Linked DNA regions of Styela clava. The protein of the gene in region 1 purifies or fractionates together with the protein of each later gene. This does not show direct contact. Links are inferred from orthologs where the notes say so. Each region holds a gene or a part of one and is shown on either strand. Other genes may lie near its edges. The genes, in order: lysine-specific demethylase 5A-like and histone deacetylase 1-like.

Region 1 (8,160 bases):
TTTCCTTCATTTCGAGAAAGCTTTTAGCCTTATCCTCCCATGCTTCTGAAAGATTGAGAAGTTCCTGCAACTCAGCCATTGCACGTTCAACAGCAGGCCTAGGTGACACAGACACTCCAGAATCTATCAACTTCCTTAATTGCTCCAATGTTATCAATGATGGTGGAGGATCACAATCATTTATTTCATCGTCCAAAAGGAGACAAGATCTGACTTCTTCTAACCACTTTGCTTGTTGTAGTGCGTGGTGTAGTAACGTCACCTGTGGAAGTTCCAGATCAAAATCTAGTGAATCCTCTATCAAAACAGCAATGTTATGACTGCAAGGTTCTTCCTCTTGCAGAATAATTTCAGTTTGAGTAACAAATTTTTCAATTCGCTTTATATAATCAGAAACCTGATCCAAGTTTGGAATTGTGCATGGTAAACCTAATAGTTGTAGATAAAAAGCCCTTATTTCTTCCAGCGTCAATAAACAAGTATTTGGATGAGTTATAATACCAGCTGTGGAATGAATTTCTTTTTGCCTAGTCCTGTGCTTTCTAACCACAACAAGCTGTTGGGCAACTCGTGAACACTTTTCGGCTTCCCGTACAGCTGACTGCAATTGATGCAGCAAATCATTTTCTGGAAATTTCCCTTGCACAGCTTCTTCAAGCAATTCTTTCAATTCGTGTAATGTATACTTGTTTTCAAATCTTGAAAACGCATCGCCTAATTTTGTAGTCCATGTATCAAAAGACTCCGCTCGCAATTTCATCTTATGAAGCAATGGAGGTAATTCATCCAATGTGTATCTATATCGAAGTATAAATTTACTTGGATCACAAGTGCTGCAGAGCCTGTTGACATGGAACGTACAGACAAGGTGATCTGGTCTACATGGGCATGTAATTGCGGACAAAAAGCATGCTGTTTTGCAGATGAAACACTGACGTTCATCATCGGGTACAACCTCAAAAGCTTCCCTTTCAGCTTGACATACACCAAGCTCATGAAGTTTCTTTCTTGCTTCTCTTTCCTCTTGCAGCATAGCAAGCATATCTCTGTAAACAGCAGCTGCAAGTTGAACATCTAAAACGTCAGGATTATTGGCGACTTTACATAAAATTTCTTCGTGTGAAAACACACATGCTCTTTTTACTGCGCGATAGTGAGCAACAGATTGTCTGCCAATAGGTATCCAATCAGCTGGACAAAAGTTCACGGCTTCTGCAAAGTTATATCCCTGATTAAAACCTGCATGATATGCCCTGGGGAAGGTAACAATGAATTCACCCGCACATTGGTTAGTTCGGACAACTCGCACACCATTGTTCATCAGAGTTGAAGGATTGATAGTGGTTACAAGATGATGCATAACATCAGGGTGGTTCTTGAATAGGTCAGGTGCGGTATTTTGCATTACTTCTTCCAGTTTGATTGCATCTTCTCTTGGAACACCATACCAAGTCTTTGGTTCTCCCCAGTGAAGATAATTGATAGAATATGTCCAATGATCTTCAATGTGCCAACAAAAAGCAGAGAAGCACATACCGACATAAACCCATGGTATTTTCATTCCTGACATGTCACCAGTCATATAACTTAGTAATGATTGTTTCGCAACTGGTAGATTGTTTAAATTCCATCCACTTTTTGCATAATCCTCTTCTTCAGCAGAAAGTGGATGTTTCTCTTTGTCGCACATTCTAGGAAATCCACTTCCGTGATTAAGAACATGAATATCGGCGCCATACTCCACTGCAACATCCTCTTCTATTGATCCAATTAATCTCCAGAATTCTCTTTCAACCAACTCAGTGGGGATCATGTGAACAGGTTTTGTAAAATATTCTGACTTAAAAGCATCAGCCATTTCTCCAAAACTTTGTAGTGTGTATTGCTTTCTTGCTTGTTCAAAACCATAAGCGTCTATGACTTTGTTGCATTCTTTAGACAAGCATTTTGGACATCGCCAATCCCCTTTGGGAACTTGGTTCAATGGTGGAATCAGACAGTAGGTATGGTAACTGTCATCACATCCATCACAGAGTAAAAGTTGAGTGTCATTGTGATCCTTCAGACAAACTTTACAATTACCCATTGTATCAAGAATGGAGTATGGGAGCTGTTCTGAACCCTTCTTTCGTGTGTTTATTGAGGTTGTGTCAACTGTTGCGGTAGGAATTGCAGTTTCTGGCTTTATCTTAGTTTCTATTTCCCCGTTGTAATCCATCAAATCAAATATATTTTTGCAATCCTCATTCTTCGGTTCTATTTTGATAGTAGCGGGTGCAGGTTCACTTTTAATTTCTTTTTTATTTGCCTCTTCTGATTTTATTCGATTTCTTCTCTTAGCAATTAATCCCAGGCCTACCATTTTTGGGCCTGCACCAAAAAGCTGCAATTTGGCAAGTTCTTTGTTATTTGATACGTCTACAACAAGAGATGGATCATCTATAGTTCTTCTTTTATTTTTCTGGCGGGCAGCTTCACTTTCATCTTCTTGCTCTCTCTGTGGTTTTACCTTGCTATTCCCTCCATATCTTCCTGAAAAACTTGGAAGTGGTTTCCCAGAGCCATCAAGGCTCTCAAGAAGAACGCCAGAAACCATTATGTCATATGGATACAGCAATCTTTCATAATGTTGTTTTATTGTTGCAGAAAAATTTTTTGCAACTCCTAACTTTACACATGCGGCATTCCATTGGCGGTTCTTGCAGACTTCTTCAAATCCCCCCAATTTCCTTACGGTCTCATGGAGACCATACAAATCTAAAGGAGAGCCGGCAATGTGTGGCAGTCTGAATGTAGTACCCTGTAATTCCCAAAACTTAGCTACTTTCTGAATGAATTGAAGTCGAATCCGAGTTTGAATACCTAATTCATTAAGTCTCTGTATTCTCGGTGTAAATTTGAAATTTTCTACGTCAATAGCAAATGGGGGTTGCCAATAAGGTGGAGGCCGTATTTTACAAATGCCTGCTTTTTCTGCTATAGGTCTGATCTTAGCAATGTATCCAAGTGGATGAGCAAATTCTTCTTCGTTTGGCTCAAAAACTGGAGCCTCTGGAGGAGGAAAGAATTCATCATCAAACATATTGAATTTTTACATACAGCAGCTTATTAAGATCTTTAAATATGAAAACAAAATTCAGAAAAATTAATATGGATCTAATTAGATAGAATATACATATTCATCCCGGGGGAGAGGAAAGTACAGCCTAATCATATGGCGAAGCATGGCCTCTCATTAAGTTACCAGTCCATGTCGGGATGGGATTAGTTAGCCAGTTATTAGTTTTCGGAAGCAAGGACTTGATGGTGGAGGAGGCAGTAACCGACCAGCGGTTATATGAACACCCTATGGCGGCGAGGAGTCCGGAAACCGTTTGCACATAACTAACCCTGCATGAGATCGGAACCCACGAACAGTAATCAGAGGTGCGGTGACAAGCATATTCCTAACACTTAGCATGATGCGCCACACCGCCGAGCCGGGAAGAGATATTTCAATTTCCTTAGCATGTCAATTGAAAAACAAAATCATTTGGTTGAGTTGTAATTCTGTTGTGTATTTGCACAATCTTGTACATAAATTAAGAATTTGATCACATTGAGAAGATATCAAAATGCTTTACTAAAAATTTAAATTGTCAATACATCATTTGCATTGAATATCATGTACCGGTAGGCTTACCGGTAAATAGTTTTATGTTTTTGTATATTTCCATGAGACAACTTCGCTTTGAATAAAGCCGGAAAAATATTCAACCATCACTGTCATCAAATATTCTTACAACTTCAATTTATTGGAACAAAGATTATTCAATTTAGTGATATTTAAAAATGATCATTCATCCTGATATGTTGATTTGGCTAACTAGCAGAAGCCTAAATAAGGAGCTTACAAAGTGGGACAAGGTATCTGATCCAATCACAGAAATACTTTTTTCATCTGTAGTTTATTAATTTTTATGTGTTGACATGATTCGGGTTGTAAACATTCCATTTTACACCAAATTTTAGTAAATTTGACAAGAATTACCAAGATGGAATTGGTACACCAGTCATGAGGAAAGCAAATTTTTATTAAAATCAACGAACTCCTGAATTTGTTTGATTAAGATTATAATTGACTAATATTACGAATGATTATGCCTAAACTCAACCCAATTCTAAACTCAAAATTTCAAAGTACTGAAGTATAAGGGTGGTCTGTGTTTATCATCCTTCATGCTGGTTAATATTATAAAAATGTTTTACTTTTGCACTGCTGAGGCAGGTATTTAAGAGCAAATTTCATACTAGATAATAAGGAAGCAACAATTTCAGTATATACAGCTAAACGAAGGCGATAAATTCAGAAATCTCAGTACCCCGTATAGCATTTTTACGCTTCCTTAACGACTGACTGAACGGCGTCGGAAAATCGTAGATGAATTTAAATACACATCACACAGTCACAACATCGCCGTATATAAAGGATCTCACGAGAGAACGCGCACAATCAGATTGCATACCTTTTAAACTTAAACATTCCAAAAACTTTATTTAATTCAACACAAAATTGTTGCGCGAAATGCAAAAAATCCAAACAGTTTTTAGATTCTCGCACACACAGACATATCGCCAAAATTGGATCTACTACATTATTATTTCTACGCTGATTTTCATACCAGGAAAAATCTGCCGAACGGTTATTTAATCCATGGCAAAAATATAACTTAAAATTATTCTAACTAAAATAAATTACCACACAGAAAGGAAAAATATTAGACGCACAAGACCCTGAGCACAATCCGTCGCCATTTTCGCTACGTGACCACTTGGTGTCCGTAAACACAAAGAAGAAAAAGGGCAATGACGCATTAAGATGAGAAAAAAGTTATTTCAGCAGAAAATAGAAAAAATGCAACCCGGCAAATTGTAATTATGTACGAATTTTGCATTTGCTCTGTTCTTTCCAGGGGCGTATATTGAGGGGTTCGATTGTGTGCTTTTTTATTATTCTGGGTTTAGCGCTGACAAATCGAAGACAAACAATACAATGCCTTACGCCAATCAGCCTACAATCGCAATCACGGAACTTACGAAAGACAATGTGAAATTTGTTATTGAAGATACAGATCTCAGTGTTGCAAATTCACTCCGCCGGGTATTTATTGCAGAGGTGAGAATTTCTGATACCGGTAACCGAGAGGAACAGGATGGAGAACCCGGAGAGTTGGCTAAACCAAAGTTGGGTTCGCAGGTTCGAATCCCATGCAGGGATGGTTATGTGCGAGAGGATTGCTGGACTCCTCGCCGTCGTTGGGTGGTTCACGTAACCGCTGGTCGGTTACGACTTCCTCCACCACCAAGTCCATGCTTCCGAAAACAAACAATATAACTAATCCCATACCCGACTTGGAATGGTAACCGGACGAGAGGCCGTGGTTCGCCATATGGATAAGCCGTCTTTTCGGTTTTCCTCTCCCCCGGGATAAATATGTAAATCCTATCCTATCCTAAACTTGATATGAGTTTTGAACATGCCACATAAATGCACTAACGTGATGTAGGCAATTCAATATGAAAAAGCTGTCTTATCGACTATCCTCTCCCCCTGGATAAATTTTGAAGTCCTATCTTGTTGTAACATAGAACGACTTAGAGATACCGTACTCCGACACAGTCTTTAAGGGTATACCGGTACCCTAGCTGCTGAATTACCTTATTTTTTTATTGCCCATATCGGAAGCCGTGGAGCCACCCTTTTCTGGCGAGGAGTCTAGAAATCCTCTTGCACATAATTATCTCCCACAGGATAATCAGAGGTGCGGTGGCGAGCGAATTTCTAATACTTAGCACAATAAATCACATTGTCTAGTCATACCCGACACTCGCTTTCTATTTGCTTCCATGGCCATTACAGTCGTCAACTCCTAAGCTATCCCAGAGTCATCCTCAACTTTTAACCTTTGCACATTTTAATAACTCATTCATTAATAACTTCATTCTTCTACCTGTACGCATGCATGAAATACAAATGTCTATAAGCATGGCATAGACTCAACAATAAAGATTACTAGAGTTCATGTTTCAATCTTATGAACTGGACTATCGGTGAATTAAAAAGTAGTGAAGTGTTATCCATTCTAATATTCTATATGAGACATGTTTCTTTGAAAAATTGTTTGTTTGTTGTGACTGCCCGCCTCACATTACTCTATTTAAATATATTTTAAGGTTCCCACACTTGCGATTGACTGGATTCAAATTGAGGAAAATTCTTCAGTATTGAATGATGAGTTTTTATCACATAGGATTGGATTGATTCCATTAACATCCGATGAGATAGTGGACAAAATTCAGGTAAATAGCAATAAGTAAAATTCAACCAAGCATATTTGAACGGGACCTATAGCCAGCCCATGCGATTAGGTCATTTTGTCTGTTCTCTATCTCTCATTGTTCCTCATTCTATGTATCATACCTGGTTAGTTGATGTACTACGGTAATTAATACATAAGATTATTCAAACCAAAGTGATCATTTTTTATTTTACTGAAGAACGTATTTATCCTGATTTCAGTACTCAAGAGATTGTATGTGCGATGAATTCTGCCCAGAATGTTCAGTGGAATTTTATCTCGATGTCAAATGTACAAGTGAAAGCACGCGACAAGTTACTACTCGTGATTTAATATCCATGAATCCAAAGGTAAAATGGTATTCTTGAAATCAAAATTATCCATTAGATGCTATTTTTTTATTTTATTTATTCTGCAGTTTCATGAGAAATACACATTTATTTATTATGGAATGAACAAACACTATCTGACTTTTCTACCCAATGTCTCGGTCATAATCATATCCAAATATTTTTTTCCAGTTTAAAACATTCCCATTATTTTGCTGGCTAATAGTGATTGCATAAAACATAAACATTTTGTGTAACAAATGAATTGAATGCCGTTTGCATGTTAAACTAAGGTTGTTCCAGTTACATCGAGAAGTAGAGGAGACGAGGTTGAAAATTATGGAGAACAAGATGACATACTGATTGTTAAATTAAGAAAAGGACAATGCCTAAAATTCAAAGCTTATGCTAAAAAGGGATTTGGTAAGCGGGTTTCTTAATGTCTGTCTACTGTATAATGCTTTCGATGAGAAACATTCGTTGGATAAATGAAACTTCAATATAAATATAGGAAAGGAACATGCTAAATGGCAAACAGTTTGTGCATGTGCTTTCGAATATGACCCAGATAACGCACTTCGTCACACAACTTATCCAAAACCCGAAGAATGGCCTAGGAGCGAACACAGTGATCTCACAGATGATGATGATAGACATCAAGCAGAGTAAGTTGTCGTGGCTTGGTTTTATTAAAACCACAATGAGCTACAGTAGCCATTAAATTTATTTTTGTTCAGATTTGATCCGAATGGCAAAGCAAACAAATTTTTCGTCAATGTGGAATCTACAGGAGCCATAAAACCAGAGAACATCATTCTGTCAGGGCTCTCTGTTCTTAAGAAAAAGCTCAGTGACCTCCAAACACAGCTAAGCCATGAACTGCAGCAAGATGGACTAACTATCGCATGATGATGCTGAGAAACGATCTTTTGGTCATAAAGTACCACCACCTTCTGCATCACTAGTTTGTCTGGCTTCAGGTGGATCTACATAGTTGAACATTTTAGGACCAATTTTTTCCAGATGATTTCTGCCACGTTGTCGCCAGAGTTTTTGACACATTTGTAATTTGATACATCGTCTGGCTGAACAGTTGTTGCACATCCTGTACCCATCTACAACTTTCCACTGCTCTTGTTTTAATTCTGGTGCAAGGACATTTTCGTTCTCGGGATTTTCCAATCGTTTGAAGATGATGAGTTCACCATTACTTTTTAAATGTGTCCCACCTATGTCCTCTTTAGTTGGGAGGCCATTTGGAAATTGAATTGGATGAATTCTGAAAATTTGATGGTACTTAGCAAGTTAGCATACGACAATAGTCTGTATTATTTGGCCTTCCTAATTGAATTTACCACCACGAGAACTGAGCAAAATCATAATACCTGATTAAATGTTTGACCTGCCAAAGTTTCTCATTATTATTTGCTGTGTTCATCTGCACTGAAATGTCATTTACCTGTGAAGAAAGAATAATAAAATATTAGGAATAC
Region 2 (7,648 bases), on another chromosome or scaffold:
AGATTTGGAAGATAAATTGATGCGCCTGGAGAAAGCAATAAATCCTCTGCTTGATGACGATGACCAAGTTTCTTTCAGTTTTGTTCTTGATAATATAATCAGTAATAAAATGATGACCATTTCAGATTCATGGCCTTTTCATAATCCTGTCAATAAGAAAATTGTGCCGGATTATTACAAAGTTGTTGATCATCCAATGGATCTCGGCACACTGAAAAAGAATGTTCAGAAACATATGTATCAAAATAGAGGACAGTTTATGGAACATGTTGAGCTTATTTTAATTAACAGCTCAAAATTCAATGGCGCTGAATCAAAATTTACTGAAACTGCTCGACAAATCGTTGATGTTTGCAGAAATACACTCGAGGAATATGATGAGCATTTAACACAGCTAGAAAATGATATTGCTGCTGCAAAGAAAGCGGCAGAAGAGGAAGCAGAGGCTGGAGCTGATGACGACGTTGTCATGGATGAAAACAGCATGGACATTGGTGTGGATGAAGATAGTAACTCCTCCTTCACTGCAATGCAGCAAGATGACAGTAAGAGTAATACCATGTTCACCGACATGGAAGATGAAAAAATAGATGTGGAAAGTGATGTTCCCACTTCATCGAATGATTTTGTTTCAGTCGCTGCAGCTCAAGCTCTCGGAACTCAAAACGACTCTAACACAGCTGATGGCATCGAGGCCCAAGAAGGCAAGAGTCTGCTTTTGGAAGATTTGCTGATGTCGGATGGAGAAATGTCTGCAAGTGAGGATGAGGAAGGCAATAGTGAAGATGAAGACGAAGCAAATCCATTTGCAAGATCTGAAAGTGAGGGCAGTGATGATGATCAAATGAAGGAAAGATTCCAAAAATACTCAACAACAGTTCATCAAGATGAAGTTATCAGAGATAGTGCCCCAGACAATGCAATGGATGTTCCCTCTGATTTCAGAAGTAAAAACAAAAGTTCAACTAAAAAACAATCATTGACTCTGAGTTCAGAAGGCGAGGATAGCGAAGCTGGCAGTTTTGTATCTGTCGGTGGAGAAGTTGTCAGCGAAAGTGAACTCTCTGAAACCTAAATATTATGTCCTATTCTTAATTATTATATTTTTCACCAAGAAATCTAATCATTTTGTATCTAAAAATGAACACTTAACAAAGTATTTTGTTTGTATCTACCGTAATATTATGTGAAGAATGATGAAAATGTCTTTTGGGGAAATATCAAAAAAGTTTCAAAAGCCCAATGCCATATTATGACAAATGATTATAGTTCAAATTCGAAGTGCATTTTCATTTGTTACCCTGCTCAATATCATTAGGGAATTCCATATTAATCTCAGGCAATGGCGGTATAGTGGCAATATCAGGCTATTGCAGACGTTTGTATCATATGCCATTGGCGTTCCACACCTCACATTCTTTGTTGCAGATGCAAGGACTTGGTGGAGGAAGACGTAACCAACCGTTAGTATAGTGAAGCACTCGCTCAACGGCTGTAGGAAATTCAGTCCTCTGGCACGATATAACCCCACGGGATTCGAGCCCACGCAAAGTAATAAGAGGTGCGATGGCAAACGTATTTCTATAAATTGCATGATGTAAGAACAGGTACCAACCGCCAGTGTCAATCTCGAACTGTCAACTTAGTATTTTATGACGCTAAGATTACTTTGACTACTTGAAATAGAACGCACACTTGCATACAATTAGCACCAATATTGGGGGAAACGAGTGATGTCTTTAGTAGGATTTTAAACACTAATGCTCGTTATCTTACGAATGGGCACACAGAGACAATCTTATCAAAGAAATTATCTGGCGTACTGGACCCCCATCCGCACATCTGATTACTCTGCGTGGGTTCGCATTTTCGAATCCCATGCGGGGATAGTTATGTGCGAGAGGATTGCTGGACTACTCGTCAACGTAGGGGGGTTCACGTAAGGCTGGTCAGTTACGGTTTCCTCTACCACCAAGCCCATGCGTCCGAAAACAAATAACTAACTAATCCCATATCCGACATGAACTGGTAATCGGACTAGCGGCCTTCCTCTCCCCTGGGATAAATATGTAAATCTTATCATATTAGTTTTTTAATGTTAACCTAACGTCAGTTGCTTATTCCGGCATCTGAATCCTTGAATAAAACACAAAATGGTTGTAAAATATATCGAGTGAATGAAGGACCCTTTGTGGCCATAGCCAGGCCATGCCCCACCTCTAAAATATTCAGCTGTTTAATGCAATTTCGAGGCATTTGTGATGAGACATAATAATCCTTGCTCCGAATACCCCAACCAGATAGATGAAAATGCTTGCTTATATATATATAACTTGAACAGCGAAGTAAGCCCGTAGAGAGATTATTTAAGATATTGTCTTCTAGCAGTCTTTATCTCGCCTTGGTTGGAGCAAAAGGCACGAGTTAGCGTCGCATTATGTCATTATAAAAAAATTGGTTCCCCCTCCAAAAAACAATTTTTTCATCCTGGGACCTTTCATGTAGGCTAATTGTTTTCTTCATTGCAAATTGGTAAAATATGTGTACAATCAACAAAAAGCTATGTGATTTAAAATTAATTTGAATTACATGTTGGCGATGTTTTTCATGGTCGCACTTTCACCTTTACCTCAATAATTACGATCTATGCAGGAAAATTCCCACTAAAAAAGTGGACAACTCTAGCCGCTCCATTAAATTACAACCAGAAATAGAAGAACTTTGAACATAATTTCAAGGCACTTCTTTAAAAACATTGATCTCACAAAGACAAATTGGATATAATCAAAATTGAAGAAACACGTGACTTAACTATAATATAAGGAAGATTCAAAATGTGAAGTTTCATTTTAGAATATTCTATGCACTATTTAATAATACATTGGCAGTAGGCCTATAACTTTCAGAATTTGTTGCCATTTCCTTAAATTGGTTTAATCTTAGCTTCATGCTTCATTAAAAAGAGGAATGGTTTGATAAAATTATATAAGTTTTAATTTGTGTGTACAATATTTTTTTTCACTTCACTTCGTTTATATGCTATATTTATCGATTATCCAACATTTTGCGGTTTTGAAACATTTCCGCTATTGCCGTATTTAAAACTTTTGGCGCCTCTTTTCATTTTCTGATAATAATTGTATGAACAGATTGAAATTTTGCGTTCAATGTCCTTACTATAACAGACCTGATCCTAATCTATCAAAGATTTTCAACTTGTATGTCGTAAAATGATGTAGGCCTATGAACGAACGATAGGTCGTCAACTGGTCATATATGATTATCCGTATCAAATGTGTATATATTCTCACTGCGGTACCCGAACCAGCGATATAAATACGATATTCGATCTCTATCACATAAGTAGAATACTTTTTTTCATTAGGTTTTTAGCTTTTGTTCTACTTAATATTGATAACTAAATTTCCAAACCATGCCGTTGTTCCATATTTTCTTCAAGCTAATGAATTAAAAATAAAAAAAATCGTATTACTGTTATGCCCATAATTCATATGTCAAACCATATTTACGGTCAAACTGTGATTTACTTCACACAACATATTATTGTTGCTTGTGGAACTTTTCTTTGTGATATTGTGACTCATCTTTTATATTTTAACTTGTGTATGCACATAAAAAGATTCAGGACAGATTGAATGTGTGGATTAATATATATACTAATTAACTAGTATAATAATATATTTGGTATAGAATTCTTAATTCTTGGAATATTTGCTTTAAAAAATTTATTCAAATAATTCCCTTATCCCGAATAGACAAATTTATCTCTCCTATAATCAAATATTGTTTTTTTTGCACATAGTGTATATCGTTTTTTTTGTTATATTTATTGAGAGTGTGGTATAACCGTAAGTATAACAGAACCTGTGTTATTAATTTGTTTGTTAATTTGCTTGTTTTGGGTGATAACTGACTCAAATGACCGTAAATGGTTGTATCGTTACCACCCAGTCATCTATCAAAAACTAAATTTTCTCAATTTGCTATCATATATATTTAATCGTTTTCTGGTTTGACGAAATAAATAAGTTCTCTCTCTCTCTCTCTCTCTCAAAAGCACTGCTGATATTACGATCTGGCAACGCTACATATCGTTTAGTTTCCTCCGATTGTCGCTGTGGTGTGGTCTGCGCGTCTGTCTCTGCGTGAATTATTTGTTCGTTTTTAAAGTATTTCGGTTGAAGGAATGGCGCTGACGAATCCAACAAACAGAAAAGTTTGCTATTATTATGATTGTAAGTATATTTCCAAAATTATCCAGGTAATAGCTGAACTATTCACTTTTTATAACTTCGCTTGGCTTTGTCGGAGGTACGTGTGCCAGTAGAGCCCCGTGCAGTAATTACCATGTTGGTTCATTATTTCATTTTTACTTTAAAACTGTGATGACTGTGTGATATACGTTTGTCGTATTTAGTGGAAATATACAACATTACCAAATATTAATTCATAATGATCAGAAACCAATGTTTATTTCTGGAATAACTATTCTCATGAAGAATGAGTCCAGACAAAAAGATGTGGCTTTCAATATGATTAAACTGCGTTGTCAGATCTTTTAGTCTCTTTGATACGATATGAAATGCAACTACAATCTTGTCTCGGCAGTATGACACATCATGCCAAGTGTTAGGAATACGCTTGCCATCGCATCTCTGATTATCCTGCATGGGTTCACAGGTTCGAATCCTGTTGGTTATAATTATGTGCAAGAGTATTGCTGGACTCTTCGCTGTCATAGGGTGGTTTACGTAACCGCTGGTTGGTTATGGTTTTCAAATATTCCATTTAATTTTCATTTATCAATTTTGTTCGAACAGCTGATGTTGGAAACTACTACTATGGCCAGGGTCATCCAATGAAACCACACCGAATACGCATGACCCACAATCTACTTTTAAACTATGGACTGTATCGAAAAATGGAAATTTTTGTAAGCTAAAAATTTTGTACACTCACATTTATAGAAATATGCCTCCAAATAGAATTTGAAAATATTGCTAAAACAAAATGTCACTTCGAAAACCTCACGAATCATATTTTTAGTTTGATATATTTGTTTGAATATTTTTCCTCTTGTATATAAAAAATGAAACAAATTTATATTGAGGTACCTATATTATTAAAATATTGGATTTCAAACTTTTCAATGAATGGAATCATTATTTGTGTAATGCATTTTGGGTGTTGCAACCAGTAACCCATGTTTGGCTCCCCTTCCATTTGTCAAACCCAATAATACAGTGGCCATAAGCTTCTCTAATTGCAGGTCAAAAATATGGTGAATTAATAAAATTCATAGTCAGTGCATTGTTTATTCTTTAATCTATTTCACAGCGACCACATAAATGCAACAGCGATGAGATGACAAAATACCACAGTGATGATTACATAAAATTTCTGCGCAGCATAAGACCTGACAACATGTCTGAATATACAAAACAAATGCAGAGATGTAAGGATTTTCTAAGACTATTTAATAATACATCTACACTAAATTTTAATCATATTGTATCTTTGAGTGTGTAGTGCAGGGTCGTCCTACCTGTGGCCCACAGTCTACATGTGGCCCACCAAGGAGCTTTGAGTGGCCCGCGCTGTATTTTCGAAATTAAATATAAAAAAAAATTGAGTAAAACTTCCATTTTCAGAATGATGTAGTTAATATGAAGATTTGATACAAACAATTTGTTAATTTTCCTGAAATGCGCTCTGCTAGCCCTTTCAAACGAGCCATGAGTGCCATTTTGATTCGAAATCAACTGGAAGGTATCGATACATAAATAGTAGCTTACACACTTGGGCACAGATGAACCATGTCAAATCCCCTGTGAGATCACTAATTTCTGAAAGTCATATGGAAAATTCACTTCGCATTGCTACATCGTTCATTTCAGCGAATATTTACTAACTTGTTAGCGAAAACAGTGCCAAACTTCACACTAAAATATCTATGTGTAGAAAAAACTTTGTTGACTTTACTGTATCTTTGTTTTTTTATTGTTCTTATTAGTGAGAAAGTTTGGTGCGAGGGTTTTGTTTGTTTTTTATTAACTTTTAGTCAGTGTAACAAAACTAGAACATAATTACCATGTTAAGTGGCCCACGCAATTATTAGTAAACTAAATGTCGCCCGACGGCCAAAAAGGTTGGTCGACCCTGGTGTAGTGTGTGGCTTTGTGAATTTTTGGGACAATTATACCTAAGAAAGCATAATTTGAAACCCTGTGATATTGCTTCAAGAAGTGTGATAAATTTTTTTTTCAGTTAATGTCGGAGAAGATTGTCCAGTTTTCGATGGACTTTATGAATTTTGTCAGTTATCTGGTGGTGGATCAATTGGTAAGTCTAATATGTAATATATATACATACAAGTATCATAGCATATTAGAGCAGAATAATAAGTCCTATATTAGATGATTTGTTATGAAGATGTGTACAAAGTAAAGTGGTTGTATTGGAATAACTATATTGGCATCACTGGTTTTGAATAAATCTAGCTCAATCAACACATTATTTAATTTAAGGCCAAATCTCACCCTGAATGTAAAAGCTTTTCAGACTGAAAAAAATTTCTAGGCATCACCAGCTTCTCACCATTGTGTTTTCTCATCATTCAGCGAGTGCTTGTACTTTATTCAAAAAGGAGATATTTATACGATAAGTTATAAGATAAGTTCAATATACCAAGTCTTTCATCTAATATTCTGTCTGGTATTTTTATAGCTGGAGCTGTCAAAATTAACAAGCAGCAAACTGATATTGCAATCAACTGGGGAGGTGGACTTCATCATGCTAAAAAATCAGAAGCTTCTGGTTTTTGTTATGTTAACGATATTGTGCTTGCTATATTAGAACTTCTAAAGTGAGTGTAGTGAATATGAATTGTTGATTTTTAGAGATTATTATTGAAACAATAATTTTAATGAGAGTACGGTAATCAAATTCAAACTGTAACCAAATTATCTAAATTTCATTTTTTTTTGTTGAAATCACAGTCAAATAAAATAAAAGTGATCTATTTAGATTTTAGAATATTCAAAATTAAAATGAATTGAAATCAAGAGTTTCAGAATACCAATTTTGTTTTATGTGTAAGAATATACTGAGACAAAAAATATTGTGTATAGGTATCATCAACGTGTTTTATACATTGATATTGATATTCATCATGGTGATGGTGTGGAAGAAGCCTTTTATACAACTGATAGAGTTATGACAGTTTCATTCCATAAGTATGGTGAATACTTTCCAGGCACAGGCGATCTCAGGGTTAGTATAGATTTTATGCTTATACTTTGTATTGCGCATTGTAATGCATGATTTGTAATCAGTTCTAGTGAAAGTTTAAAATAAAATCTTTTGAAAACCCATTGTCCATTGAATTGTTCGACTCTTGAGTGGCCATATGGCCATATCCTATGAGATCCAAACTTCACCTAGAAAGTTCATTAGAAGAACACCGATATAGAACTTGGTGAAATATAGAGCTATAAAAGTCATTTGTATGTATAGTTTATCATACTTGAGACATTTTCTTATTTCAGGATATTGGTGCAGGCAAAGGCAAATACTATGCACTCAATTTTCCATTGAGAGATGGAATGGATGATGGTGCTTATGAAGA

What was found.
Region 2: the proteins of lysine-specific demethylase 5A-like (region 1) and histone deacetylase 1-like purify together in Drosophila melanogaster (affinity purification with western blotting; 3 studies listed by BioGRID, with this or other methods). This does not show direct contact. The link is inferred for Styela clava from reciprocal best matches to the Drosophila melanogaster genes Kdm5 and HDAC1.

Annotation. Positions count from the first base shown.
Region 1 is NC_135263.1:18,252,003-18,260,162, forward strand, and holds the start of lysine-specific demethylase 5A-like, read right to left. Parts: upstream 3,133-8,160; 5' UTR 3,083-3,132; coding exon 1-3,082. Other genes in the region: DNA-directed RNA polymerase II subunit RPB3-like, read left to right, coding at 5,033-5,155, 6,214-6,339, 6,560-6,688, 6,961-7,090, 7,179-7,332, 7,405-7,576; uncharacterized protein LOC120341062, read right to left, coding at 7,601-7,946, 8,053-8,126. UniProt on the Drosophila melanogaster protein: Histone demethylase that specifically demethylates 'Lys-4' of histone H3, thereby playing a central role in histone code. Does not demethylate histone H3 'Lys-9', H3 'Lys-27', H3 'Lys-36', H3 'Lys-79' or H4 'Lys-20'.
Region 2 is NC_135257.1:9,276,397-9,284,044, forward strand, and holds the start of histone deacetylase 1-like, read left to right. Parts: upstream 1-4,096; 5' UTR 4,097-4,207; coding exon 4,208-4,256; intron 4,257-4,841; coding exon 4,842-4,954; intron 4,955-5,358; coding exon 5,359-5,476; intron 5,477-6,288; coding exon 6,289-6,363; intron 6,364-6,747; coding exon 6,748-6,886; intron 6,887-7,151; coding exon 7,152-7,293; intron 7,294-7,568; coding exon 7,569-7,648. Other genes in the region: transcription initiation factor TFIID subunit 1-like, read left to right, coding at 1-1,075. UniProt on the Drosophila melanogaster protein: Catalyzes the deacetylation of lysine residues on the N-terminal part of the core histones (H2A, H2B, H3 and H4).